2 linked regions of the Elephas maximus indicus genome follow. The protein of the gene in region 2 interacts with the protein of the main gene of each other region in a biochemical or structural test. Links are inferred from orthologs where the notes say so. Each region holds a gene or a part of one and is shown on either strand. Other genes may lie near its edges. The genes, in order: PTPN22 and LCK.

Evidence for each region.
Region 1: of the proteins of LCK (region 2) and PTPN22, one has a biochemical effect on the other in vitro, tested with the Homo sapiens proteins (3 studies listed by IntAct, with this or other methods). The link is inferred for Elephas maximus indicus from reciprocal best matches to the Homo sapiens genes LCK and PTPN22.

What each region holds. Positions count from the first base shown.
Region 1 is NC_064821.1:166,855,592-166,871,074, reverse strand, and holds the start of PTPN22 (tyrosine-protein phosphatase non-receptor type 22), read right to left. Parts: upstream 5,994-15,483; 5' UTR 5,905-5,993; coding exon 5,818-5,904; intron 1-5,817. UniProt on the Homo sapiens protein: Acts as a negative regulator of T-cell receptor (TCR) signaling by direct dephosphorylation of the Src family kinases LCK and FYN, ITAMs of the TCRz/CD3 complex, as well as ZAP70, VAV, VCP and other key signaling molecules.
Region 2 is NC_064821.1:73,153,889-73,169,329, reverse strand, and holds the start of LCK (tyrosine-protein kinase Lck), read right to left. Parts: upstream 6,235-15,441; intron 5,982-6,234; coding exon of another isoform or gene 5,969-5,981; coding exon 5,619-5,968; intron 5,344-5,618; coding exon 5,245-5,343; intron 5,104-5,244; coding exon 5,000-5,103; intron 4,773-4,999; coding exon 4,623-4,772; intron 4,332-4,622; coding exon 4,179-4,331; intron 4,066-4,178; coding exon 3,886-4,065; intron 461-3,885; coding exon 384-460; intron 295-383; coding exon 141-294; intron 57-140; coding exon 1-56. UniProt on the Homo sapiens protein: Non-receptor tyrosine-protein kinase that plays an essential role in the selection and maturation of developing T-cells in the thymus and in the function of mature T-cells. Plays a key role in T-cell antigen receptor (TCR)-linked signal transduction pathways.

The sequences.
Region 1 (15,483 bases), about 94 Mb from region 2:
GGAGGTAACAGAGTGGGAAGGGGTAGTAAGACCACAGGCTCAAAAGTTAGATAACTTTACTTCAAATCCAAGTGCCACCACTTATAAGCTGCGTGACCTTATTAGGTAAGTCACTTAACCTCTCTGTGAGTCAGTGTTTACTCCATGCCAGACACCAAGGACACCAGGATAAGCAGACTAAACATGAGCCTTGCCTTTGTCAAGCTTCAATCTGTTGGGTGATCAGACATTAATCAAATAATTACACAAGTAAATCAAATAAATACACAAATTCCATTCTTTAAATGGAATCCAACAACACTAAAGGAAATTTTTAAATAAAGTAATATGTATTTTGACAAAAATTTAGAAAATACAGAAAAGCAAAAAGATAAAGATTACCTATAATTCACTACCCGGAGTTAACCATTCTTAATATTCTTTTAAAATTGGAAATGTGGTATTCTACAAAAAAATGAATAATGAGAACTTATAATAGGAAATTCAGTCTACTCAGGTCAAGAAGACTTCTCAGGGGAAGTGACATCCTTAATGAGATCTGAAAAATTATTGTTACCTAGGCAAAAGAGAGTGAAGAATGTTCAAGGCAGCACTTGAGGGTTGGACTATGCAGGACTTATTTTAGCCATTTTAAGAGATTCTTTAAGAAGTAAACGCGGTTCTGTTTGTAAAGCGCTTTAGCACAGAGCCTGAAGCACTGTTAAGGGTTAGCTATTGTGACTGTGAAAAGCAGATGAGCAGAAAAGTTATACTATAAAAGAAAAAGGAGATTGAAAATAGTCATGGAAAATTTTCAGACTCAGAAATCAAATTAACATAATAAAATACTATTTTACACCAATTATATTTTTAAAAGTTATGATTTTACCTGATGCAGCATAAGTAGAGAAGTTAAGAGACTTTGGAAACAAACATACCAGTTTCAAACCCCAGCTTTGCCATTTCGTAGGTAAAATGAAGATAATACTTTCCTCTTGGGGTTGTTGTAGAGATGAGCTGAGATCATATATGGTAAAACACTTAGCAGATTGCCTAGCACATGGTAAGGAGTCAATAAATTGTATCTATTATTGTCTTTTATAGTTATTAAATTAAGACTGGCAAAGTGGTAGAGAAAATTACAAATTCAGATACTGAAAATTAAAAAAATTCTTTTAGAAATAAGTTTGGCAGTACTTAACCATTTAGAGGAGCTCTGGTAGAGCTGTGCTTAAGAGCTCGGCTGTTAACCAAAAGGTCGGCAGTTGGAATCCACCAACCAATCCTTGGAGCAGTTCTATTCTGTCCTGTAGGGTCACTATGAGTCAGAATCGACTTGAAGACAAAGGGTTTAAACACTTAGATGCTAATACTCTTTGACCCAATAATAACACCTTGGGGGATCTAGCCTCAGGATGTAACCCAAAAGAAGGGAAAAACAACATGCACGACATATTCATTGTAGTGTTATCAAAAAAAACAAACCAAACCCACTGCCGTCGAGTCGATTCCAACTCATAGCGACCCTATAGGACAGAGTAGAACTGCCCCGTAGAGTTTCCAAGAAGTGCCTGGAGGATTCAAACTGCCGACCTTTTGGTTAGCAGCCATAGCACTTAACCACTATGCCACCTGGGTTTCCAGTTATCAATAATCATGAAAAATTAGAAACAACCTAAATGTCCAACAGTACAGGAATGGTTAAATTATCTGGGTGCTTGCTATGTGTCAGGCATTTTGTATACTTATCCCATTATCTTCACAGCAGTTATGCAAAGTGAATGTTATTTATTCCCACTTTTTAATGACTTTGTTCAAAGCCACACAGCTAATAATAGGCAGAACCTAAATTTAAACCCAGAATTATGTGACTACAAAGTGGTTATCAGTACAGATGGTAAAAAAGACTACCTGAATTCAAAACTCAGTTATACTGCTTACTAGCTGTGTGACCCTGAGAAAGTCAGTTAACCTCTCTGTGCCTCAGTCTCCTAATCTATAAAATTAAAATAATAGCACTACCTTCCTCAATAGATTAAATGAATTGATATATAAAAGTGCTCAGAGTGATGTCTGGCACATAGTAGGCTGTAGAAGTATTGGTTATTATGATTGTTATTATTTCATCATGCCATGCTGCACCATTGTTGTTGTTAGGTGCCGTTGAATCCATTTCAACTCATGGCGATCCCATGTGACACAGTAGAACTGCCCCTTAGGGTTTTCTAGGCTGTAATCTTTACTGAAGCAGGTCATCAGGTCTTTCTCCTGTTGAGCCCCTGGGTGGGTTCATACCACCAGCCTTTCAGTTAACAGCCAAGCGCTTAACCATTGCAGCACCAGGGCTCCTTAGCCATTAAATACTATAAATATTTTGAATTAACATGGTATATAATTTTGGTATAATGCTATGTGAAGTGGGAATACAAAATTGTATTACGCTATAATTATGATATAAAAAAGCATTATATAAATGGACAAGAAGATCCACAAAATAAAACTTGTTTTTTGGAATGCTAGTACTGTGGTGGATTTATTCATTTTTTTTTTAACCTTGTGATAATATTGGTTTATAAGAATAATTACAATAAGGGCTTTTTAAAAGTACCTTCATGGAATTTTCAGTAATGTGGTCGTATACCGCTGTTCCTGCTATTTAAAAACTATGCTACCTAGGGATTTACCCTCAGGCTTTGAGGGACTCAGTGTTATTGGTTGAAATGAAGCAAGGCACTGTTGCATAAAGATTAATTTCACAGGCTCTGAATAATACAAATCTGGGTTAAGTTCTGTCTCTACAGCTTAACAGCTGAATAAGTTAGGCTGATTACTCTCAGGGCCTCAGTTTTCTCACCTGTAAGTCAGAGATAATAATTGTAGCTACCTCACAGGGTTTTTTGACTAATAAGATAGTGAATGTGATACTTCCTTGACACCCTATCAAAGGCTATCACAACTGTAATTAGTAATTAGTTGTTTAATGTTGCCTCTCCAGTTAGAAGACATGCTCCACAAAGCAGGAACATTGTATCGTATTCCTGTATTTGAATGAATGCATGAATACCTTACAGGGGCATTCTGTGGCAGCTTCATCTAGAGAGATTAAATTTAGTCTTGATACAAGAAGACCTAAGCATGCTATTGGCTTCAGCTGTCACACAGGACTGCCACATCTAGTTATGAATGTTGTGCTCTGAATAGAGATACCCGGCCAAGAGGTGTGGGGAGAGTGGGGACTGAAACCTAAGCCACGGACCTGAAGGCAGGGGGTAGAAAAGGTCACAGGGCCACCACCTGGAAGCAGAGGAGCCATTTGGTAATTTGCACAAAGGCACCATCCTTCAGACTAGCAGTAGCCCAGAGTCACAGAGTCAGTTCACAAGCTCCAGAATCATCAAATTCTGGGAGAATATACTAAGGGATTAAGGTGGGATGTGGGATGTGACCAGGTGGAAAACCCTCCAATTTAATGGCAGTATTTACCTTGCTCAAGCAAGCAACCTGGCCCCATTCAACACTCCCTCACTTCCCCAAAGCTACACCCTCTGGTATCTCAGATTAACCTTTAGGTGGGGCTGAGAGCAACACTCTTTTTCCACTGGAGGACATGAGTCAGTGAACAGTGAGGTTCCACTTAATCACCACCCCCAAACAAGGTCCTTAAAATCAGGACCTAGAAAAGCAAGGAAATGATTAATATAAAAGTCAGGATAGTGATTACCCCTTGGGCAGGGCAGGGTGGGGGTAGGGACCTGATGGGAAGGGGATATACAGAGGTCTTCTAGGGTCTGGCAATGCTCTGTTTATTGTCTTGGGTGGTAGTTGCTTTATAATTAGTCAATATACTGTACTTCTTTTACGTACTTCTCTAAATGTGTTAGTACATTTCACAATTTTAAACAAAAAAAAGACAAACTAGGGAAAAAATGATCAGATTTGTATTATTAAAAGATCACTTGGGTGTTGAATGGAAAATTGATTGAAGTGGGGCAAGACCAGAGGCAGAGAAACCAATTACGAGGCAGCTGTCATAATTTGGGTGAGAGATTATAATGACCCGAGATAAGAAAGGAGCCCTGGTGGTGCAGTGGTTAAAGCACTCAGATGCTAGCCAAAAGGTTGGCAGTTCAAACCCACCAGCCATTCCACAGGCAAAAGATGTGGCAGTCTTCTTCCATAAAGATTTACAGCCTTGGAAACGCTATGGGGCAGTTCTACTCTGTCCTATAGGGTCGCTTCGAGTCAGAATCAACTCAACAGCATTGGATTCTGTTTAGTTTTTGGAGATAAGAAAAGGTAAAATATCAGGGATATAGTTTACATTATTTAAAAAAAACACAACCAGAATAAAACAGAAGTTGCCCCTCACTTTTTACCTCTCTGCTTTGGGTGAATTTGGCTTAGGAGTTATAGGCCAGAGGCAGGCACGTTTCTAAAGAGACACATAGGCTAGGATGTCCTCCTTACCTCCCTCCCTTCAGACTGACTTCAGACAGGCTTCAGACTGACCGGACCATGGCACTGAGAGCACTTTTTTCATGATACCACAATATTATCTGAGTTGAACTGGTCTCTGTCGTAATATTAACCACTCAATCATAATAGCTAATCACTCAAGTCTTTACAGAGTGTTTTTACATTACTGTGGTGGACCAGAGAGCTAGCTCCATGAGGACAAAGAGTTTTGTTTGTTTTGTTGACTGCTGTATCCTCAGTGCCTAGCACTGTGCTTGGTACATAGTAGGTGCTCTATAAACACCACTGAATAAATGGCCATATTTAATTATTATTGCTGTTAAATCTTCACAACAATCCTGTGAGGGTAGGAAAGACTAAACTAGTATCCTCATTTTATAAATTTGAAACAAAGGCTCGGGAAGATTAAGGAACACGTCAAATAGTCTAGAATTTAGTTGGCAAAAGAATCATGATTTAATTCTAGGTTTTGTGCTTCGGTTCCCTTGTTTTTTCCACTTCTTCTTCACAGCTGAAGATCGAAGGTCTGAAGTTATTACAGCTCTGAAACACCAGCTGGAAGTATTCCAAAATACATGATAGGTACTCGCAGATACCCTATTTGATCTGATGTACTTGGTTATAGGATCAATAAGGCCTATCCAGCTGATCACTGCAGCAATAACCACAGTTCCCTCAAAGGAGATGCAGTGTTGCTCTGGGTAATCAAATCCAGTTGACCCTAGGCTGCCTCGTACTCAATATTTCTCTCCATTCCCTTCACTTGCTCCTACTCTCCATCCTAGCCTTTCACATCTCCAAGCAAAAGAAGGTTAAGGAAACCCTGTTATTGCAAAAACGTATGTTCTAATATTTTTTTCTTCACCAAAAAGAAAAGTGATGAGGCAGCAGGTAATTTTGGTGCTTTTAAAAAAAAATTATGTCATCCAAATGGAATCCCAAGGGGAGGATAAAAATGTTCATTGAGCCATGAAAAGCTAGTCTTGGTCTCTTTCCTCTTAATATAAAATAAAATTAGTAATTTGAATCATTAACCACAACTTAGATACCTGGGGAACTCTGTATGTTCAATTATATTAGTATTTATTCCACTGGAACTGTGTATGTCTTCTGTAGGATTCCTAGTCAAGTGTCAAGAAATAGCAAACAAAATATCAAAGTCAGTATTTTGGAGAGAACACCTAACATACATACAAACTGCTGAGGGAAGTCAAACGTTTAGGTTGCCTTCCTTCCCTCCTGCCTGTCTGAGGTCTAATATTCATTTTAATCCAAGAGCAATTTGGTCTAGGAGAGTTGGACCATCAGAGTCAGTTAAATAGCCTATGTAACTACCATGAGAGTGTTACACACAGGACTCACCAGAAATTCATTGGCAAACTCCTCTTTCTTAATTTTCTTATCTTGGTTCTCATGCAGGAACTTCTGCAGAATTTCTCTTTGGTCCATGCTGCAGAGCAAGAGAGACAATCTATGAATAGGTTGAAGGAGGGCATGTCAAATGTGTGTCATGGCTAAGACACCACCGAGAAGCCACTGCCGCCTCCTGAGCAGAGTATGCTGAAGGCTGTGGTTTACTGACTTCATCACAAGCCCTAGAGGAAATTAGTGCGTAACCAGCCTCTGTGGTCACACAACAAAACCATCATCTCACGGCAGGGCCCTAGCGCCTTCGTTTTCAACAAAGGAGCCTGGTTACAATTCAAGTTTTTAACAAACAAGAGACTAACCAGAAAATAATGTGTGGTCTGCTTAGCTCTGAGACTGTTCCAGTCTACATTTAAGCAAAATTCACCTCTCTTCTTGCTTCACAGAGAAAAGGCAGAGTTAGAGGTCTCATGGTTTCTGCCTCTCTCCATCTCACCAGTGAGCACAAAGGCCCTGGTGTCACCTTCTATATCCTCCATTTCCAAATGAACTCTGCTTCAGTTAGGCCCAGAAAGGGAGACGGACACTTTTAGAGTCACTCAACTTTTGCGGGGAGTCTTTCTCCAAAGGTTTCTTGCCAATATGATCAGGGGCAAACTTCTGTTCATCAGAGAAGGCATTTTTTTCAGAGTATTTATTCTTAAGTTCCCCCAATAGACCTCAAACTCTCTTTGGAATGAAGCAAAGTCAGCTGCTTCTGACAGTCTATACCTCTCGCAGGACTGGGGAAGTGCTGACCTCCATTAAGGGAAGTGTGGATTTCAGGACCTCCCCCACCCCCAGGAGCCTTATGAGCTTCACTTGGATGTAAAGACTGAAAGTATTGGCCAATAAGGATTCAGAGCACAGTGACCCCCAGCAGGAGCACTGACCCAGCAATGGCATACTATCCCCCCGTTAGTAAAAAAAAAAGTAAGGCTGATTTAACTGAGGGAACAGAAAAAAAGTAAAAACAATCACCTTGCTGGCAGCAATATAACTTTCACGGTGGAAAGCCTGTTTCTAGAGAAGACATTTCTACTCTGCAGCCAGTGTCTTGGAAAAGGCCTTTGTTTCAGGAGGTCATGCCGTGCATGTGGCAATTCAGCCCTGTCTGACAGGCAAGTTGTTCCAGAAAAGGCTTCTACATCTCAGTTTGCCTAAGTTCTTTTTTCAGTGGGTACAGATCTGTCCAAGAGTGTCTAAATTAGTGCGAGAGCACCCAGAAATCAGCACATCATCTCTGTTTCGGGTAGAAGTTCAATAAAGAATATGTTAACAACATTGTTGTCGTTGTGTGCGGTCAAGTCGACTTTGGACTCATAGCGACCCTATAGGACAGAGTAGAACAGCCCCACAGGGTTTCCAAGGAGCAGCTGGTGGATTTGAACTGTCCATCGTTTGATGAGCAGCCTGAGCTCTTAACCTCTGCACTACCAGGGCTCCCCAAGAGTGTCTAAATCGGTGTGAGAACACCCAGAAACGAGCACATCATTTCTGTGTGGGTGTAGAAGTTCACTAAAGAATATGTTAACAACATCCTGAAGAAAACTGGGAAATGTATCATTAGGCCTTCCTTATGTATTTTCTTTTTTTTTATGTAAATATTAGCAATCCTTTCTGTTTTGCAACATTGTTCAAATTTCCTTTAGGAAGTCCTGATTCTGGACGCTATTAAGCTGCTTTCATTTTATTGAGCCCTACAATAGGAAAAAGAAAGGTCATTGATATAGCGTGGTTATAGGCAACTTGAAGCCAATATTCCAAATAAAGAATTTCAATACTGAGCCATGTAAATTAAAGTGGACCATAATGCTTCAGCAATATTTGTTGGAATAGAATCACATTTCTCAAATTAACCCCACTAGCCTTAAAGGAGAGTATCTCTCTGCTCTAAACAATGCAGTGTTTGATCTGGTTATTTTTAAACATATAAAATAGAGGGAAAGGTTTACATTTTAAAAAATACAAAATTTAAAGCTCACAATAACTATAATCATGTAAAAGTATATACTGTACATAGTTAAACAGAAACTAAAAGTTGCAAAAAATCAATTGTATGTGTGTGCTGGGATTAAGGGTGATTTTTAAAAACTTTCTTATACCACTTTTTAAATTAAAACATACACACATGCAAAAAAAAAAAACTATTAATTCATTCTTATTGAGTATCCACTAAATTCTAAACACTGTGTTAGGGGCTGGGCATACAATAGTGAACAAGCCAGAATATGGTTAAAAAACATACACACTAAACCAGTTAATAAAGCATTTCAGAACTAAAGAAATAGACTTAATTATTGATAAAAATAAAAATATTCCAAACTAACTTTCTTGTTTGCCAAGTAGCAAAGTATAACCCTAGAAGGAAATGATTCTGTTTTGAACAAATAAAAGATACAGTTTCATAATCTCTGTGTCCCCTTAGAATGTCCTCACTTCCATCAAAACCAGAACTTAAATAATTACAGATGCTTCATAAGATGAAATTTAAATCAATTTTCCTCAAGCCCCTATTTCAGAACAATCTCAATGTTATCGTCTCTTCTTAGGGAGGGAAGAGGTAGAGATAGATATGAGATAAGAAAGAAAAAATTGCTTAGATGTCATCCATCGCTCTTTTACCCCAAAGCTCAGGATCTGAAAATAGAGTCTTTGCCGAACTGTATCTCTTTTTTAAAAGCAAGCAGCAAGACTTAGGAGTCTGTTCCATTGTAAAACCAAAAGGCATAGAAACATCGTGAAATAACTAAACCTCAAAAACTCACTTAGCTGCAAGGCCATTTCCTGAGCAGACCACTCAAGTGAGCAAAAAACAACCTGAAGGAGAAAACAAAAACACTTCAGTTTTATTTTGAACAAATCTAAGCCTACTGCTTAATCTTTCACACTTCCTTCTACAGATACTGGAGGGCAATAGGAACAGATTGTGTTGACTCATTTGTATCTTGTGGGACAATCAAGAGTTGGGGAGGGGAACAAGTCATGCACCAAAGGTTGGCAAATACATAATTTAAGAATTTACAATGAAACATTTAAACCAGTCTGGCGTAAACCCTAAGTGAACACAACAATTCCATGCAGTAAAAGACACCGTATCAGAACCATCAAAGGTGAGCTCTAGTAGGAAGTAAAATTCTGAATAAGCGCCTGAAGCGGAGTGAGTGAAGAATTAGGGACCACTCACAGCTGCCTCACACGTCTCTGGTGTTTGTTCAGAAGGAAGATGATAACGGGTGTTGATCATACTGTCACCTGCTCCAACAAGAAGAGAATGTGCCAGTTGAAGGGAGAAACATCAATATCATGGAGATCAGGAATTAGAGGACCATAAACTTTAATCAGAGACTATCAGGGGATATTATTAGGGCAAGATAAACTGCTCAGTAGGAAAGACATTATTTCTCAGAACATCTTTCTCTCTGTGAAGAGGCGTGGGTTACCCTGGAGAAGCCATTTACTCAGTCTTAGCTTTACTTTCACTCCTCTTGCCTTTCTCTGCATCCCAGGGTCATTGATTTGATGTGGGCTATTTTTGTGTGTGTGTGTGTGTGTGTACTACTATCTGTGAAACACTCAGTCTTTTTTTTTTTTTTTTTTTTTTAACACTCTGTCCTTTGTAAACATCCTGTTGGTCACTGCCCTGCTGCTGCTATAACAGAAATACCACAAGTGGGTACCTTTAACACACAGAAATTAATTTTCCCACAGGCGAGGAGGCTCTAGGGGAAGCCTCTTTGTCTCTGTCGGCTTGAGGGGAAGGTCTTTGTTTCTTTTCAGCTTCCGTTTCTTGACTCCTTGGTGACCTTCATGTGGCATGGCATCTATGTTCTCCCATCTCTGCTCACTTGCTTAACCTGCTCTTTCATATCTCAAAAGAGATTGACTTACAACACACTCTACACTAATACTGTCTCATTAATACAACAAAGAAACTCCATTCCCATATGGCATTATAACCACAGGTATAGGAGTTAGGATTTAAAACACATATTTTGGGGGGATACAATTCAATTTATAACAGCCACCAAAGTCTATTGGTTCTTTCTCCTCCATGTCTTTTAGTTTCAACCTACCTTTTCCATTTCTGTGTTAACCATTCCCATTTTCGCATCTGGATTCCTGCAGCCATAAGCTCTTAGTTGGTCTCGTACCTCTCTCTCTCCCATTTCAGTGTCTCCTTGTAACCAGGGCTGGATGAAACTTCTTAAAACTCCACTTTAATGTTAAAAAACCAAAATGCCTGCTCATAGTCTATGGGAACAAGCCCAGATACCTCAACTTGTTACCAAGCCACTTCTAATCAAATGTCCTGATCCAACCTCTCCAACCACATCACCCACAAATCTTGTTGATTACACTACCACTTCTTTTACTACTTCTCACTGTTTCCTTTAATTTTCATCAAGATAAATAACCTTCTTTCATAAAGGCCGGTTACCCCTTTCTTCAGAAATCCTCTTATAACAATTTCACCATGACCTTCTCTTATTCTGAATCCCTTCAATATAAATCTTTATATTCAGATCTGGAAGCTTTCTAATTTTTTTTTTACATGTTCCTTGCATCTCATAAGTTTATGTAATCATGAGACCCATTATACATTCCAAAGTAGACAAAATTGCCTCCTGTAAGCTTATCAAAGGCAATGATAGTATCTTCTATGTTTTAGCATAACCCACAGTGTTTAACCTGGTCTTGAGCATCCCTAAGATACTTAGAAAAAGTCTGTTGTGATCAAATATATTACATAATATGGCTAGGCTTTGGTGAGAGATTCACTGACTCGGTAACTCACTACATTAATTATTTCAGATCTCTTGCCTGGCACAGTCTATGCTTCTAGTCTCTGGCTAGGTACTTCCACTGTGCTAGAAGCAGATGGATCTTACCTGCAGGGAGACCCAGGAACCTGGCAAAGAGTACTTCCCTGAGTGCTTCTGCCCAAGCAGCAAGGCTATTATTGTAAAAGGAGTAAACCAAGGTATGGTGCTGTGACTAAGGTGCAGGGTCCAGCCCCAGAGGGCTGTAATGGCCAGAGAGAAATGACATTCTTTATCTCCAGAATTGGCCAGTGTTTCTCCTTTGATAAACTAACACAGAATAATAAAATATCTCTAATGAAGCTTGTTTGATTTGCTCATATTTTCATAACATCATCCTCAGCAGGAAAGTCCCCTACCCGTTTTTCAATCTGCTTCTTTGTCACTACAACTTTCTAAAACCTCATTAAGCATTTCAATACACCTGCTCCACAGCAGTATGAGTCCCTGTGGACTTCACAGTCAGCTTCCCACATACCATATAGGGACTCATACTCTTCCTTAGGTTTCAGAAACATAATTCTCAAGAGGCAAATGTCAACTGATAGCTTACAATTGAAGCAATTTTTTTTTTTTTTTTTTAAGGAGAGAGTAAGGACTCTAGGTGAACCATGGCATCTGTATTAGTTTCCTGAGAATGCCCTAAAAAATAACCACGAACTTGGTGGCTTACAAGAAATATAGTCTCTCACAGTTTTGGAGACCAGAAGTCTGAAGTCAAGGAGACAGCGGAGTTAGTTCCTTTTGGAGCCTCTGAGGGAAAATCTGTTCCATGCCTCTATCCTAGTTTCTGGTGGTTGGCAGCAATCCTTGGCATTCATTGGCTTGTGGATGCATCACTCCATTCTCTGACTTTATCTTTACATGGCATTCTCTTCTCTTTATCCTCTTCTTTTCTTATAAGGACACCAGTTGTTGGATTTAGGGCCAATTCTTTCACAAAGCCCAGTTACTCTTTTCTTCAGAAATCCTACCCCTAACTCTATTTTATCATGACCTTCTCTTAGTCTGAATCCCTCTAATATAAATATATTCAGTTCTGGAAGTTTTCTTATTTTTTCACATGTTCCTTATATCTCATGTTTATTTAATAAATAAATGCAGGATGATTTTATCTAAAGACCCTTAACTACCACCCCATCTGGAGCAAGGGAGAGTGAAGAAAACCAAAGACACAAGGGAAAGATTAGTCCAAAGGACTAATGGACCACAACTACTACAGCCTCCATCAGACTGACTCCAGCACAACTAGACACTGCCTGGCTACCACCACCACTACTCTGACAGGGATCACAGTAGAGGTCCTGGACAGAGCTGGGGATAAATGTAGAACAAAATTCTAACTCTCAAAAAAAGTCCAGATTTACTGGTCTGGCAGAGACTGGAGAAACCCCAAGAGTATGGCCCCCAGACACCCTTTTAACTCAGTACTGATGTCACTCCTGAGGTTCCCCGTTCAGCCAAAGATTAGACAGGCTCATAAGCAGAACGAGGTTAAATGGGCACACTGGCCTAGGGGCAAAGCTGGTAACAGGGAACCCAAGGTCAAGAAGGGGAGAGTGTTGACATGTCATGGGGTTGGCCACCAATGTCACAAAATAGTATGTATATTAATTGTTTAATAAGAAACTAATTTGCTCTATAAACTTTCATCTAAAGTACAAAAAAATAAATAAATAATAAATCTTTAATTACAACTGCAAAGACCCCATTTCCAAATAACATTACATTCTGAAGTTCTGGGTAGGCATGAATTTTGGGGGACAGTATTCAACCTGCTACAGCATCCTGTTTAAAATATAATAAAGCCTGAAATCTCATTTTTTCTTTGTTTGATTGTTCATTCAATGTTGAGTCATTTATTCATTCATTTAATGAATATTTACAGGATCCATATACATCCAAGAGAACAGAGGTGGAGTGCTACAGAAGTGTACAACAAATTGTCTTTGTTCAAGGATCCTTTATTCTAGTAGGGAAGATAACTACATAAATAACTATAATTTAAGGCCATTTGTCATAAGATGAAGACGCCCTGGTGGCCCAGTGGTTAAGCAATAGGCTGCTGTCATGGATTGAATGACAGTATTCAATATATATGTCAACTTGTTTAGGCCATGATTCCCACACCAGCAATTTATGAGTGTTCCATTCCCTCCACAACCTCTCCAACATTTTAATGCCAGCCTTGTTGGAGTGAGATGGATTCTCATTGTAGAAGATTTGCATTTCTCTAATGCCTAATGATTGTCAGCATCTCCTCATGTATCTGTTAGCTACCTGAATGTCTTCTTTAGTGAAGTGTCTATTCATATCTTTTTCCCATTTTTTAATTGGGTTATTTGTCTTTTTGTAGTTGAGTTTTTGCAGTATCATGTAGATTTTAGAGAGCAGGTGCTGATCAGAAATGTCATAGCTAAAAACTTTTTCCCAGTCTGTAGGTAGTCTTTTTACTCTTTTGGTGAAGTCTTTGGATGAGCATAACCAAAAAAAAAAACAAGCCAGTGCTGTCGAGTCGATTCCAGGTGTTTGATTTTTAGGAGCTCCCAGTTATCTAGTGTTTCTTCTGCATTGTTAGTAATGTTTTGTATACTGTTTATGTCATGTATTAGGGCTCCTAACATTGTCCCTATTTTTTCTTCCGCAATCTTTATCGTTAGATTTTATATTTAAGTCTTTGATCCATTTTGAGCATGTTTTTGTGCATGGTGTGAGTTATGGGTCTTGTTTCATGTTTTCGCAGGTGGGTATCCAGTTATGCCAGCACCATTTGTTCAAAAGACTGTCTTTTCCCCATTTAACTGCTTTGAGGCCTTTGTCAAATATCAGCTGCTGATATGTGGGTGGATTTATGTCTGGATTCTCAATTCTGTTCCATTGGTCTATGTATCTGTTGTTGTACCAATACCAGGCTGTTTTGACTACTGTGGTGGTATAATAGGTTCTAAAATCAGGTAGGGCAAGGCCTCCCACTTTGTTCTTCTTTTTCGGTAGTGCTTTACATATCCGGGGCCTCTTGCCCTTCCATATGAAGTTGGTGATCTGTTTCTCTATCTCATTAAAAAATGTTGTTGGAATTTTGATTAGAATTGCATTAAATCTAAAGATCGCTTTGGTAGAATAGACATTTTTATAATGTTAACTCTTCCTATCCATGAGCAAGGTATTTTTTTCTACTTATGTAGGTCTCTTTTGGTTTCTTGCAGAAGTGTTTTGTAGTTTTCTTTGCATAAGTCTTTTACAACTCTGGTAAGATTTATTCCTACGTATTTTATCTTCTTGAGGACTACTGTAAATGGTATTGATTTGGTGCTTTCCACTTCAATGTTCTTTGTGTTGATGTAGAGGAATCCAACTGATTTTTGTATGTTTATCTTGTATCCCAATACTGTACTGAACTCTTCTATTAGTTTCAGTAGTTTTCTTGAGCATTCCTTAGGGTTTTCTGTGTATAAGTCATGTCATCTGCAAATAGAGATACTTTTACTTCTTCCTTGCCAATCTGGATGCCCTTTATTTCTTTATCCAGCCTAATTGCTCCGGCTAGAACCTCCAGCACTATGTTGAATAAGCGTGGTGATAAAGGGCATCCTTGTCTGGCTCCCGATCTCAAGGGAAATGCTTTCAGACTCTCTCCATTTAGGATGATGTTGGCTGTTGGCTTTGTATAAATGCCCTTTATTATGTTGAGGAATTTTCCTTCTATTCCTATTTTGCTGAGAGTTTTTATTATGAATGGGTGTTGAACTTTGTCAAATGCTTTTTCTGTCTCAATTGATAAAATCATGTGGTTCTTGTCTTTTGTTTTATTTATATGATGGATTACATTAATTGTTTTTCTAATGTTGAACCATCACTGCATAAAAAAAAAAAATTTTTTTTTTTTTTTAATCCCTGCATACCTGGTATGAATCCCAATTGGTCATGGTGAATTATTTTTTTTGATAAGTTGTTGGATTCTATTAGCTAGAATTTTGATGAGGATTTTTGTACCTAAGTTCATGAGGGATATAGGTCTACAATTTTCTTTTTTTGTGGTATCTTTAACCGGTTTTAGCATCAGGAATATGCTGGCTTCCTCGAATGAGTTTGGGAGTATTCTGTCCTTTTCTATGCTCTGAAATACCTTTAGTAGTAGTGGTTTTACCTCTTCTCTGAAAGTTTGGTAGAACTCTGTGGTGAAGCCATCTGGGCCAGGGCTTTTTTGTTGCTGGGAGTTTTTTGATTACCTTTTCAGTCTCTTCTTGTGTTACGGGTCTATTTAGTTGTTCTACCTCTGTTCGTGCTAGTTTAGGTAGGTAGTGTGTTTCTAGGAATTCATCCGTTTCTTCTAGGTTTTCAAATTTGTTTGAGTATAGTTTTTCACAGTAATCTGATATGATTCTTTTAATTTCAGTTGGGCCTGTTATAATATCGCCCATCTCATTTCTTATTCAGGTTATTTGCTTCCTCTCCTGTTTTTCTTTTGTCAGTTTGGCCAATAGTTTATTTTGTTGATTTTTACAAAAAAGCAGCTTTTGGTCTTGTTAATTCTTTCAATTGTTTTTCTGTTTTCTATTTCATTTAGTTCTGCTCTAATTTGTGTTATTTGCTTTCTTCTGGTGCCTGAGGGTTTCTTTTGTTGCTGTCTTTCTATTTGTTCAAGTTGTAAGGATAATTCTTTGATTTTGGCCCTTTCTTCTTTTTGGATGTGTGCATTTATTGATATAAATTGACCTCTGAGCACTGCTTTCACTGAGTCCCAATGGTTTTGTTAGGAAGTGTTTTCATTCTCATTGGATTCTCTGAATTTCTTTAT
Region 2 (15,441 bases):
GAACGTCCCATAGTTAATGGCTTCTGGTGCTGTCCACTTAATGGGAAACTTGGCCCCTGTGGGGAGGCAAAGTGAGGCCACCTGGATCTGCTTGATTTGAACCTGCCAGGCCCCAGACCTCTCTCAGACCCCGCACTTACCCTCCCTGGCCGTGTACTCATTGTCCTCAATGAGGCGTGCTAGGCCAAAGTCTGCAATCTTACAGCTCAGGGTGTCAGACACCAGGATGTTGGCGGCCCGCAGGTCACGGTGGATATAATTCCGCTCCTCAATGAATGCCATGCCCTCAGCGATCTGCAGGCCAGGTACAGGTCAGCAGTCTTGGGCCAGACATCCTTCCCCAGTGGCCAGTGCCCAGGCCCAGCCTTCCCCAGGCTCCTTACCTGAGCAGCCATGTCCAAGAGTTTGTTGATGGTCAGCTTGATGCCTGGGGGGGTCTTGAGGAAATCCACCAGGCTCCCTGTGGGCAGGAGCATGAGTAGTGAGCAGAGCGAGCAGAAGGAGGAAAGATCCTCCGGCAGAACTCACCCAAGTCAACTCAGGGGGAGGCCACCAGACCCTTCTCCCCAGCTGGGAATCTAGAAGCAGTGTTTGACATGTGGAAAGGAAGAATAAGGGGTGTAAATAGAAGGGTATGTTCTCAGGGTAAGGATGCCCAAGATATGTGAAGGTCTTTTCTGGGCACCCTCACCCTGAGCACAGGAAGGCTGAGAGGGAGCATCTTGTAGGTTTCTTGTCACCAATGGGGTAAAGCCCAAACCCCTCAGCCAGGGATCCAAAGTCCTGCATGGTCCACATTTGTAGCTTCTCCTCCCCTCCCCTACCCCTGCCTCCTTCACCACAGCCACCCTATACAATTTTGAGATTCTTCAGACAGACCACTTGGCTGTCATCCTGAAGTCTTTGTCCATCCCTACCTGCTGAACATTCCAGTTTTCTTTCATGGCCCAGCTCCCCCTTTAGGAAGCCACTCTAGTCCTACCAGGCATAATAAATTACATCATCTTCTGCATTCCTGTGGTGTGCTAGAAACTTCCCATGGCACAAACTCTGTCTTCCCAGTGCCCATTACTAAAATCATGAGTTTCCCTAACAGCAGAAATCTTGTTCACTTATCTAGTGCCCAGCCCAGAGTAAGCAGCAATGACTGTGTGCTGAAGGTATTGAATGGAATATGGAAAGAGATCCTGGGGGCCTTGGGGCATCTCTCGTAGTGGAGGGTGGCTGGAAGAAAAACACTATGGAAGTTGCTAGGATGAAGCTTGTGACCAGTGGCACTTCCCAAGAGATTAAAACCTCATATGAGGATGACAGCATACCTGAGTGTCCCCACTATGGGGCTAAATTAGTCACCAAAAACAAAGGCCTCACCCAGAGGCAGCAAATATGTGGATATATACAGCCATTCCTCTATTGTGTCTGTGACAAATGTTGCTAATCACAGTACTCACTCCAGTGAGCTTCAGAATCCTTCTCAACCCAGCTCTCCAAGCAACTACCAACCAATCAAAGTTGGCACCTATAATGAAACCTACTTGCCATGTCTAGAATCTATTAGCCAATTACCTTTTTCCCTTCCTGAAAGAGGGACAGATAATGTATTTCCAAAGAATCAGAACTAGATAAAAACAACAAATGTATGATGTAGCTAACATATGGCAGGCACTGTTCTAACTTTCATCCTCACAAAGACCCTATGAGGAAGTTACTATTCCATTATTATCACCATTTTACAGATGAGAAAACCAAGGCAGAGAGAAGGTAAGTGATTAGTCCAAGACCACTGTAGTGCAATTGATCACTTTTATATGGCCTTTCTCACCATAGCCTTGTAACTCTCACGGAATGACTGAGTGGGACTATGCAAAAAGTGCTTGTGGCCCACCAGGGAGATTGGACAGCTTGCTAATAATGGTGCACACCACCCTTGTGTGGGTGGAGCCATGTAAATAAGGTCAGTTTTGCTGTCCCACTAGGCTTAAAACAAGCCATTCCAGAGGCAGAAAGGGAGGACCTCACTACCATGAAGAAAGAAGAGCTGGGAGTGGAGTGCATCCTTTGGACCCAGGATCCCTGCACTGAGAACCTCCTAGACCCAGGAAACAGCTGTAACACCGGAGATGGCGCAAGACACCGAGAAGCAGTGGCAGAGAAATAGTGGCAGCAGAGGCACCAGGAGACCAGCAGGAGATGGTGCAGCTGGCTGCATGGCCCACAGAATGAGAAAGCTGGGCACCTTTGGGCCCAGGTTTACTGGCAGAGTAGGGTGCCTCTGGACACTTATTGGTGGAGCTAAAGAGCTTTGTAACACTTGCCTGACCAGGCCAGAGGCTGGGCCAGCCCAAGAGGTTTGAGAGGCCGAGAGGCCAAGAACCAGGTAGAGGCCTACTTGTGCGCATGGCCGAGAAGCTGTCCTAACTGAAGAACTATATCTTGAGTTATCCCTGATCCTGAATTTTAACCTGTTACTTCCCTAATAAATGCCAAAACTCTGAGTATGATCTATGAGTTTTGTGTGGCCATTGCAACAAATTATCGAACCCATCAGAGAAGTAGAGCGTGCTGTGGGAGGGGTAGCTGGTGTCACAATTGGTGAAAAGGTTGGAGGGTAGAGGTATGTCTGACCTTCATCTCATAGGAATCAGCCTCGGGCTGATGCTGATGGTGATTCTCCTCTTTCCTTACGAAGTTAGAGGAGGAGGTCAGACGCCACCCCCATGCCATTTTTACAACCACACAACCATGAAGACAGGATTCTAATCCAGGCAGTCAGACTCTAGAGCCCTTAATGACTATATTCTTTCTGGGTGAGCTCATTTAGATTTTCTGCTGTTAAAGCAGGAGCTGCACACGTGGGTTTGCCATGAGTCAGAATCAACTGATGACAACTAATAACACAACGTCTTTAGGGAAACTGAGGACCGGAGGTGCTATGGGGACTTAGCCTGGGTCACACAGCAAATCAGTGTCAAAGTGGAGCTTAGAAACTCAGTCTCTGCCTTTCCGGGCTCTCTGTCTAATAGTACAGCCCCTACAGCAACACCTTCCAGGGGAGGGGGAGGGGGAAAGGACTCACCCACAGCTGGAAAAAAAGGGCCTTGGGGCAGATCTAAGGAACCCTGGTGGTACAGGGGTTAAGTGCCTGGCTGCTAACAGAAAACAAAACAAAACAGAAAGGTCAGCAGTAGGAGCTCACCAGCCGCTTCACGGGAGAAAGGTGTAGCACTCTGCTTTGGTAAAAATTGCCATTGAGGCTGAGTCGACTCTGACCCATAGCAACCCTGTACGACAGAGTGGAATTGCCCCATAGGGTTTCCAAGGCTGTAAATCTTTACCCAGGCAGACTGCCACATCCTTTGCCTGTGGAGTGCCTGCTGGGTTCAAACTGCTGACCATTCGGTTAGCAGCCAAGCACTTAGCCACTCTGCCAGCAGGGCTCCTTCTCCATACCTTCTCCATAAAGATTACAGCCTTGGAAATCCTGTGGGGCAGTTCTACTCTGTCCTATAGGGTCACTATGATTTCCAAACCACTCGACAGCAATGGGCTGGGACAGATCTGTCCTCCCAAGGGTCAGGAAGGACAAAAAGGGGAGAAAAGAACCTAGGGGCCCATTCAACTCCTGAGATCTAGCATCCTGAGATCAAGACAGGGTTTTGAAGAAAGCAAAGGAGACTGCAGGTAAGGGAAGATCGAGGCGAATGCTCTTCCAGGCTCTGCCACCGTAGACTGGGCCCCCAGATAATATGTCCGGTTCTAGTCCTTGGCGGTGCGCCTTCAGCGGCCCAGGAAGCCCATCTAGAAACCCTTTATGCTGAGCCAGAGGACAATGCAGAACCCCACCCTCCAGGAGGGGCGCAGGGGACCGCGGCGCCTGGAGCGCACCGTTCTCCATGTATTCCGTGATGATGTAGATGGGCTCTTGGGTGACCACGGCATAGAGCCGGACCAGCCGCTGGTGTTGCAGCTGCTTCATGAGATTGGCCTCGGCCAGAAAGGCGTCGGGAGACATGCTGCCCTGCTTCAGGCTCTTCACTGCCACTTTCGTGTGCCCGTTATAGTACCCTGAGGGAGAAGGGGTTGGGGGAGTCACCCGCTGCCAGTGCACCTGTACTCAGAGCTTTCTGCGGACGCCTCCCCTCCCTCCTTCCCCGGCAACCCTGGAGGGCCACACTCACCCATCCACACCTCCCCGAACTGGCCAGCCCCTAGCCGCTCCACCAACTTCAGCGTCTCCCTGGGAACCTCCCACTCGTCCTCCCACCACGGTTTCTGGGGCTTCTGGGTCTGGCAAGGGCGACTCAACCGCGTGCACAACCCGTCCGGAGCATCTGCGGGGACACGGGAGAAGTGTGAAGGCAGGCCTTGGGTCACCCCACCCAGCGCCCACCTCACCGAGTCCCGGTGTAGGAGAAACGGACTGGCAGGGCGGTGTGGGGCTGTCACCCGACACCTGGGACTGTAGGGTCGGAGACCCCGCCCCACCCACTGGGGGAAATGAAGGAGCACGCTCAGAAATGGGGGGAGGGTAACTCTGAGAGAAACTGGGGGGAGGGGGCAGGCTGGTACGGCAGAGGAGAAGGGGCCTGGGGCAAATCTGAGGGAGTCCTGGAGTTGCTCACTGGTGTAATGGCGGACCAGTTCATGCAGGCCGGGGAAAGTGATGCGTGGGGAGATGTAGAAGCCGCCGTTGTCCAGGTTACGGATCTTGTAATGTTTCACCACCTCTCCCTGGTTCTGGTCAAAGTCCCGGACCGACAGTGAGAACGATCCTGAACGAATGAATGAATGAATGAACAAAAGAATGCAAAAGAGGGCGGGGTCGCCTTCCCCGAGCCGCGCACGCCACCCATGCCCTTCTGCTCGGGCTCACCCAGGTGGCACCATGCCGCCTCACTGCCCTGCCTTGCCAGCCCGCGACCCCGCCCACTGGGAGGCCCCCAGCCTGAGGTCCCGCCCCCGCGGCCCCGCCCCGGCTGTGGCCCCCCCAACCGCTCACCCACTGTGCTCTCGCTCTCCCGGATCAGGAAGGAGCCGTGCGTGTTGCCGGGCGCCAGCAGCTGCCGCTCCGCGTCCTTGCGGCTCAGGTTCTTGAAGAACCAGCTGAGCAGGGCAGAAACGACGGCTGTCGTCTGTTAGTCCCTTCTTCTTCCGTCCCCCTCAACCAGTCACCACGACTCCGAGCACCCACTCTGGGGTCGCCACATGTGTTCCCGCCCATCCCCACGACAAGCCCCCACTCACGGTTCGGGCTCCAGGCTGTTTGCTTTGGCCACGAAGTTGAAGGGGATGAAGCCTTCCTGGCCCGTGGTCAGAGACTGTGCCTTCCACCACTCGCCGCTCCTGCACCACAGCGATGGTCAGCGCGGCCTGCCCAGCCCTCGACTGAGCAGGAGACCCTTCCTTTGAGTCCTCAGCTCCACCAGGTCTCCCTCCCCACAGCTCAGCACTCTAGAGCTTCCCGTTTGTTCCAAGGGCCCCCCCCCCCAGCCAATCAGGACCTCAGGGTGTAGCTGGAGGTACCGGGTAACTCTGAGGATGGGGGTCTTAGACCAACAGCCCCCTCCCTCACAGACCCCACTAGGACTGTGGTGGATGGGATGAAGAGGGCACTCAACTGCTCCAAGATGCGGAGCTGTTCGCCCTTCTCGAACCCCAGGTCTCCGTCGTGAGAGGGCTCATAGTTGTGCAGGGCGATAACCAGGTTGTCTGTAAAGATAGGGGGCGTCAGGGCGAACCGGCCTGGGGTAGGCTGGGAGCATGGAGGTCGGGAGTTATAGGGCCAGAGACAGGACTGGGGGCAGGAGGGGCCGAAAAGGGTAGAGGGTTCGGAGGAGATGAAGGCAGACAGCCAAGGATCCACAGGCCTCATCTTCCAGGCCCTGCTGGTTGGGGTCACCTTGCAGTGGTGAGGCCGGAGGGATGGAGCCCTCGTAGGTGACCAGTGGGTCCCGCACATCAGAGCCATTCCGCATGGGTAGCTGTGGGGTGGAGGATGAGGGTGGGGTTAGAGAGCAAGAGGCTGGGTCTTATCACTAACTTTGTCAGCTATTTGCTGTGTGACTTTGGGAGATTCCCTTCCCCTCTCTGGGCCTCTCTTTTCTGTATACCGGGGTAGATGGTCAACTGTGTTATTTCAGGGACCTGTAGTTGTGGTCCATTCTTTCTCCTGAGTGTCCCTGGGCCCTGCACTTCACCTAATTCCCTCACCAAGTCCACTCTCTTGCCTCTTACCATGGCTTTGCTATCCAGTGGGACTATGGGGTAATGGCAGTTCTCACACACATCGATGTTTTCCATCCAGTCATCTTCAGGATTCGAGCTGCAGCTGCAGCCCATGGTCCCTGGGGGAATGGAAAGGGGAGTGAAGGGACTTCACGCAAGACCTGCAGCCCCAATACCAGACATCCTAGGGCGAGGTTGTCAACCCCCCCCCCCCCCCCATTCACCAGCCACAGAAAATCTGAAATGGTGGGCCCTAACTCCTGACTGGTGCTCTCTTGGAGCTCCAGGGCCACAAACAAAGTCACATAAAGCCCTAGGCCCCGCCCTCCCACCTGGGATGGGCAAACTGCCACAGATACCTTTCTTAGTTGAGTTGCCCACTTCCTGCCTCTCCCCTCTCTCTTTCCCTCTGCCTGTCCCCCACGTTGGGGGACTCCCTCCCAGAGAACACACATACATATTTACCCAAGCCCTGTGGAAGACCTAAATTTTTATCAGATCCTCCCCTCCCAGAGAGGTGTACAGGCCCTATCTCTTAATTACAATCCCTCTCCAGCCTAGGAAGCTGGGTCAGAGACACCTGTCCCCAAAGGTCAGGCATTAGAGCCCTCCGCCATACACAAAGCCTCCTTCAGAGGGTTTCTTCCAACAGGGTCTTACCTCCCCCCAGCATAACCCTCCAGTGGCCCTGTTGGCCATAACTTTTTTTTTGTCTTAGCAGTGCAACCTTTTTGTCAGGTGAAGTCAGGCAGAGCTCTGTAAATAAAGTAGGTAAAAGTGGAATTGCTCTGTCTGAAGCAGAGTGGCACCTCACCCTGAAGCCCCCAGAGTCCCTGAAGCACCTCTTTCCCTAGGGCTGCCCCTCACAGCTGTGTGGAAAGCACTAGTCTTCAGACAAAGTCTAATTTGCCATGGCACAATATCAAGACCAAATCCACCTCCTCAGTCTATTTTGCTACACACACACACATAAACAGCCACACACGCTCACGCACCCTGTGTCTGAACCCCTCTTGCCTTTCCTAAACACCCCGCACTGTTTTCTTACTGCACGGCTTTGCACATGTGGTCCTCCTGTCGTGGAATGCTCTATTTTGTTCATCGGCTGAACTCTAACTCAGCCTTCAAGTTTCAGCTCAAATATCACCTTCTCTATGAAGCCTTCCCAATAATCTTTGCTACCCTTTCACTCCTAGTTCCTACAACATTCTGCTCAGGCCCCAATCATCAACCTCAGCGCTGAGTGCCATGATGACTGATTTATGTGTTAGTTCCACCACGTCCCACCATCCCCAGACTCCAGGTTCATCAAGAGCAGAAGCTGCGCTTTATTTGCCTTAATGCCCCAGGCACCCAGAACCAGTTGCTATTTTAAATTTTGAATGATATGAGGAGGTTTAATGCACCAATTCTTCTATCTGCACAAGTCTTAGAAACAACCAGGTCTAACCTTTGATTTTAGATTAATAAACCAAGACCCATGCTGGGACCAGGTGGGGATGAGGAGCAATGGGGTTTTCTGGTTAACAAGAGTCAGAGCACAGATCCAGGAGCCAGAGAGAACTAAGTTCAAATCCCGATTCTAACACTGTGTGACCTTGCGGAAATCATTCTTCCAAAGCCTCACTTTTCCTCTTCTGTCAAATGGGTATCATCAGTCTTTTCTCATAAAAAAAAAAAATTTAAGCTTATGTTAATGTTAGCTTAGTTTAGAACTTCGAAAGACCTCCCCGCTCTCCACCAGGGCCCATTCTGTCCTACCAGCCCCTGCTTTGTAGGGTAGGGGAATGGGACTGGTAAATAATCCTCTTTGCTGCTCATGTTTCTTAAACTGACATACTCCTGACCCCCCATGGATATCAGATGTCATGGGTGTGCATCTTCCCAGAGTGCCAGTGGTTCCTGAATTTATTCATATAGCTAAATAAACATAGACCTATTATGGAACAAATGCAAAATGACATGAAATTTTAAGCCAAATCAAGAGTCTTAAAGGAAAAGAATACATATCTACTCTTCCTCCCACTGTTAGGAGTCCTTTGTGGGGGGGGGCGGGGGTTCATTTGAGAAGTCCTTCTAGGCCAGAGTCCACCCATCTGTGGCTGCAAATGGCTTTCTGATTTGCTGATTTTATTATGGCCAGGAACTAATTAGCAGCAAATGCCTCCAGGAAAGGAGCAATAGAGACTTGGAAGTAGCCTAAGAAGAACTGAGCTATCTAGTAAGATAGCAAGCATCCTATGGCTTGTGATACTGGGAAACCACAGGTTGGTCCTGTAGTAGAGAAAATCCCAACATCAGATGAATTATGGACTTAGATCAATAAAGTTCCTCCCAGGCTTAACATTCTGGGAGGCTCTGGAAAAGGGCAAGAGAACAATGGGAAAACAATGGGCTTGAGACGGGGGATGAACTGGGCCAAGACCAAGAGCCTGTGAAAGTCCTGGGATGCAGTGGTGAGGAGAGGCAGCTAGAAGGGCAGAAGGAACCCAGGCTGGAGATCAAGGGACTAGATGGCACCCGGTGCAGGCTGGGGTCAGGTAGGAAGGGAAAAGGAGCCACGGGCCTTGGGGTGAGGTCCAAGAGAGCCTGCAGGAGGACCTAGAGCCTGGACAGAATCTGGGCCCACCGGAAAGGACCTCACATCCCTAAGGAGAGTGAGAAAAGGCCAGGCTCTGTTAAATTAAACCAAGAGGAACTCTGTAACTCTGACCCTGACTGCTTTCCCTATGGCTTATTTTGTGCTCCTGGAGCCCTTCAACTGAAGGAAGCACATCTTGCCTTCTACAAGTGTGTGAGCATTAGCGTGAAGAGCCTGGCAGCAACCAGGAGACCCCAGAATTTGACAATAAGAGAAATTATAAGGTAACTTTTTTAATGGTAAATATGTATGTAACAAAACATTTGCCATTTCGTCAATCATCACGTGGGTAGTTAGGTCAGTGACAGTAATTATGTTCACCATGTTATTCAACCACTACCCATACCCATTCCCAAATCTTTCCGTCATCAGAGATGAGTTTGGTGGTTCCCAACCTAGTGTTTGCATGCTCCCAGAAGAAAATAGTGTTGAATACCTTCAGGGTATTTTAAAATTTCAAAAATCTACATGGAAATTATACTACTACTAGTTATTGTTCCCTCATTGCATACTTAGTTAAGTCTCTGATCAAATTTTGAAGTAGAAAAATAAGAAAATTAGTGCCTAAACAACGTAGTTTGTTAGGGAAAATGTTTAAAATCATGAGATCCATGGAGGGGGGTGGGAGGTGGCAAAGGAGTCCTTGGGAGGGAAAAGTTTGGGAACCACTGAGGAAATCCACCGGCCTCGTTTTAAAGATGGAGAAGCTGGGGAATCAAAGAGGGTAAGTGATTTTCTCAACAGCACACCGAGGGGTCTTGGCAGAGGCAAAACTCAAATCAGGCCCCTACATTCCTTATCAATGGACCCTCCTCTGCTCCTCGCTCCCTGGGAGATCTAAAGAATGTGGGGGGATCTTGAGAGATCATAGAGAAAGCAGGTGGGGGGCAAGAATCGTTAGTGGTCATGCAGAGAGCAGTTGGGTGGGAGGACAGGTGTGACAGTGGGTTTACTCTTCATCAAGTACTTGATCATTGTGCTATTAACAAAGACCTTTCTCTTCAAGACAATTTTTCCCTCTGCTTAGAATACACATTTCTGAGTGTACATTTACCTGACTCAGTGTAGGTGAGTCTGTGCACATGGAGGCATAAGATTTAGTGAGTGTCATGCTTATGTGTGCACACCTGTGCATTTGTATGAATCCGCATGCACAGATGGACATCTAACAGAATGGGAGTATTTATAGCTTGCTGGTATCCCCACGTAATTGTAAGATCATATATGCATTCACCTAGTTTTACAAAATATAGGTCCCATCCTCCCAGTCTCAGCTTGACAAAGCCTGCTGGGTAGCCAAAATGATATAACCAGGTTAGTAAAACCAGGTCAATAAAAATTTCTCATTATCTGAAAAAAGGAAGAAAAAGAGAAAAGCAACAAACAGTAGATTCAAGGAGCTGCTGGCAATAAGAATAAGAACCGGCAATAAGGACAGATAGTGGGGTGAATGAAACAGGACATTCTCTTCTCCCAGCTCAGGAATCCAAGGTCAAGAGTAGAAATTTCATAGATCCTATATCACCTCTGGAAACCCTGGTGGCGTAGTGGTTAAGTGGTACAGCTGCTAACCAAAGGGTCGGCAGTTCAAATCCGCCAGGCGCTCCTTGGAAACTCTATGGGGCAGTTCTACTCTGTCCTATAGGGTTGCTATGAGTCGGAATTGACTCGACGGCACTGGGTTTGGTTTTTTTGGGTTTATATCACCTCTGACTGGGGCCTGTAATGCTCTCAGTGAAACTCAAGTTTGCCCATGGTCTATACAGCACTTTGTGCAAACTATAAAAATGTCACCCCTCCCACGGGCTGCAAACTTAGAGAGTGGACTGAGGGCTAGGTTTCAGCCTCCCCCCTCCCACCACTTTTTGCTTCTCAACACAATTCCCAACCTGCTCAACATACCCAGTGGCCCTGCTCATGTCATATATGTATGTTGTTGTTGTTAGGTGCCATTGAGTTGATTTTGACTCATAGTGACCCCATGTGACAGAGTAGAACTGCCCCCATATTGTTTTCTTGGCTGCAGTCTCTACAGGAGCAGATCGACAGGTCTTTCTCTCACAGCGCCATGAGGTAGGCTTGAACTGCTGCCAGCCTTTCCATTAGCAGCCAAGCATTTAACCATTTGCAACACCAGGGCTCCTTATATATACTGTATACAATTGATCAAAAATTCCAGGCTGCAGAAAGCTCCTGGACTGGGTTTTGTGATCCCAGAGTGTTTTAGAACCATATCACAGTGAGTTCTGATTCTTGACAACTTGTTCACTTTTATCAACTCCACCAACATTATCTTCTTTGGGTGGGCTCAGAACGTGTTCTTGTCCATTTTTTCAAAAAGGGCAGTACTTTCCTTCTCCTAAACCATAGACCTATTCATTTATTGAACCAAACCAAAAACCAAACACACTGCCATCGAGTCGATTCTGACTCACAGCGGCCCTATAGGACAGAGTAGAACTGCCCCATAGAGTTTCCAGGGAGTGCCTGGTGTATTCGAGCTGCCGGCCTCTTGGTTAGCGCCAAAGCACTTAGCCACTATGCCACCAGGGTTTCCATTTATCGAATATTCCATCCAAAATGCTTCCCAGCTTCTTGCCGGGGTTTCTCAGTCCAGTGTTCTTCATCAAGAACAGGCCGGTTATTCCACTCCAGACCATTGTACTCAGGGCCACCTTGTGGCAAAAGCTGTCAGGAATAATTTAAAACATAATCTTGGCCTTTGTCTCTGACCAGGATTTGGTTTTTGGCTAAGTTGCATCTGTTCAATGGCAATGCCCACACGGAAACTTGTCAAAATATAATAGTCAAGAATCAGGGTTGGCGGGCAGAGTAAATAATTTCTAATGGGTAAAACAGGGATGTGTCCTGGGTTCCCTCCTTTTTCATGTGTTCCTTTTTGATACAATTGTTGTTAGCTGGCATCAAGTTGACCCTCAACTCATGGTGACCCCATGCACAATGGGACTGGATCTTTGTGATCCATAAGGTTTTCATCGGCTGATTTTTGAAAGTAGGTTGTCAGGCCTTTCTTCCGAGTGCATCCTAGTCTGGAAGCCCCGTCAAAACCTGTTCAGCATCATAGCAACACTATAAGGTGCCTGAGGTGCACTGACCAGGAGTTGAAACTGTGTCTCCAGCATGGAAGGTGAGAATTCTACCACTGAACTGCCCCCTTTTGATATAATATCACTTTTGAATTAACTTTGTGACCTGTTGCCACAGAGAACAGAAAGATAAGTCTTCTCTTACATGCAAACAGATGAATTCATTATCACAAACTGGGAATAACTTGAACACAGAACTGACTGTTAGTTAATTATTGCCATAAAGAAGGGCCCTTCTTCTTTTAAGGGTGATGGAAAGATTTGGAAATGAATAGTAGTGATGGCTGAACTCACTGAATTGTACAGGTTAAAGATGTTGAAGTGGCAAGTGTTTTGTTACATATATATTTGCCACAATTTAAAGAGGAAGAAGAGCTACAGAGCAATTATTCTAAGCTAAAGCTGGTATTTTCCTAGAGAGGTCCCCCAACTAGTAAAGTGTATGCACCTAGTAATTCCTTTCAGTGAGTTTCCTCGTGTGGCACAATGGCTCATTTTTGTGTGGTGTTTCTAGCCATGGTCTTGTAACTCCCACCCGACTTATTGGGTGGGACTTTGCAAATAAGACAATTGTGGCCCACCATGGAGATGGGTCAGTTTTGCTTTAAAAGAGAGCCAGTTCCAGAACAGAGAGAGGATTTCACCACCACCAAGAAAGAATAGCCAGGAGCAGAGAGCACGTCCTTTGGACCCAGGATCCCGGAGCTGAGAAGCTCCTGAACCCAGGCGGTAAAGAGATAGCTGTAACACTAAAGAGGGAGATATGGTGGCAGAGAAACAGCAGCAGGCGAGACCAGCAGGAGATGGCGCAGTAGGCTTCCTAGCCCACAGAGCGAGAAAGCTGAGTGCCTTTCGGCAGGAGGCTTGCTGGAGGAGTAGAGTGCTTCTGGGCACTTGGTGGGGCTAGTTTTGCAAACCCAGGAAGCTAGAGCTGAGCACCTTCCGTGAGGCTTAGTGGTGGAGTGAGGTGCCTCAGAGCACTTATTGACAGACCTAAAAAAGCTCTGTAACACGTGCCCCTGAGCAGGGCCAAGGCTGAAGGGCCAGAGAGAGGCATGTCTTCGGCAAGGCTGGGAAGAGGCTGTTCTGATGGATAAACTGTATCCTGAGTGTTCCTTAACCTGAATTGTAACCTATTGCTTCTCTAAGAAACCCCATAATTGTGAGTATTGTCTGTGAATTCTGTGTGGCCATTGCAATGAAACACCAAACTCAGCAGAGAAGTAGAGAGTGCTGTAGGAGGGAGGGTTGGTGTCAGTATTGGTAAAGATGGCGGAGAAAGGAGGCGTATCTGACCTCCGCCTCATAGGAATCAGCCTTGGGCTGGTGATCTTTATTTTCCTTCCTCCGCGTGAAGTTAGAGGAGGTCAGATGCTGTCCCCACGCCATTTTTACACATCCCTTTGGTACCTCCGTGTGTGTTTTCCCTCAGAGCCTTTATCAGGATAGAGCCTTACTTACAGCTTGGTAATTTATGTATGCTATTTTATTAAAGTTTCTGGGAGTCTACTGGTCATGAGGTCCTACACACAATGCCCATGTCATAGTGACCCAAATATAACCCCAAGGTCCCCCAGTCACTCACTGGCAGAGGCCTTTGGAGAGCTTACTAAAACTCTCTGTGCCTCTCTCAGTTACTTCATGTGCAAAAGGGGAATAAAAACAGGACCTGCATCTAGGGCTATTGTAAACATTATATGAGATAATATATAAAAAGGGCTTAACATAGTGCTTAGTACATAGTAACCCATTGCCATCGAGTTGAATCTGACTCAAGGTGACCCTATAGGACCGTAGAACTGCCCCATAGGGTTTCCAAGGCTGTCACATCTTTCTCCCGTGGAGCGGCTGGTGGGTTTGAACCACAACCTTTTGGTTAGCAGCCGAGTGCTCAACCACTGTGCCACCAGGGCTTCTTAGTACATAATAAGGACTCAATAAATGAACATAATTGTTATTCAAGGCTAGGGTAAGCATTTCATTACACCAGCTGTTATGAATTGAATTGTGCCTCCCCCCTCAGAGGTATGCTAAAGTCTTAACCCCCAGTTCCTATGGAATGTGACTTTGTCCTTTGGAGCCTTTGTCCTTTGGAGCCGGGATCCCTGCGCTGAGAAGCTCCTGAAGCCAGGAAGTTGTTGTTATTGTTAGCTGCCATGGAATCAGCCCCTGACTCATGGTGACCCAATGCACAATGGAATGAAATGCTGCCCCTTCCTGGGCCATCCACATGATGGGTTGAGGATCAGCGGTTGTGATCCGTGGGATTTTCATTGGCTGATTTTCAGAAGTAGATTGCCAAATCTTTCTTCCCAGTCTTTCTCAGTCTGGAAGCTCCACTGAACTCAGTTCAGCATCGTAGCAACACCCAAGCCGCCACAGACAGAGGGGTGGGTGGTGGCTGCTGTTGACGTGTATTGGCTGGGAATTGAAGCTGGGTGTCCCACACAGGGTGGGGGGCAGGGAGAATTCTGTCACTGAACTTTTGGAAACAGGGTCTCTGAACATGTTACTAGTTAAGTTCACATGAGGTCATACTGGAGTATGAGTGGTGTCCTTATAAAAGAGAAGAGACACAGACAGGCACAGAGAGAAAACAGCCATGTGAAGACTGCCTCAGGCAGAGATTGGCACATCAAAGATCACAGGCTGCCACTGGAAGCTAGGAGAGAGGCATGGAAAAGGTTCTCCCTCAGAGTTCTCAGAAGGAGTCAACACAACCAACACCCTGATTTCTAGCCTCTAGAACTGTGAGACAGTAAGTTCCTCTTCTTATAAACCACTGAGTCTGTAGTACTTTGTTACAAGAGCCCTAGGAAAATAGTTTGTGGTTGTTAGGTGCCCTCCAGTCAGCTTCAACTCATAGCAACTTCGTATATAACAGAATGAAATGTTACACGATCCTGCTCACAATCTTTGAGCCCGTTGTTGCAGCCACTGTGTCAATCCGTTTAATTGAGGGTCATCCTATTTTCCACTGACCCTCTATTTTACCAAGGAAACTAATACACCAGCCTTAAACGTTTTCCAGACTAAGATGATTATTTTCATTTTCCTCATGATTTTTACCACTGCCACAGAATGCCTTTTCACCTTTAATATATTTAGGTAAAAAGGAAAGTTGACTACCATAGATGGAAAACCAGTATCACTAGCCATAAATAGAATCACACACAAACTCGTACACATTAAAATAAACACATAAGATAACACATAAACTAACAGTTTTCAACATTCATCCATTTCCTCCTAAAATCACCTCACACACATCAGTGATGTACAGGCCACACTTTGGGTAACACTGCCCTGTGAGAGAGAGCTTTGGGCTTAGGCCTCGGTCGGTGGGTTAGAGGAGACGGCTTTCTGAGTTGGCCAGCCTATTGACAAATATGTAATCAATGTCACTGAACTATACTCGTAAAGACTGTTGAAATGTCAGATGTTTTGTTACATATAGATTTTACAACA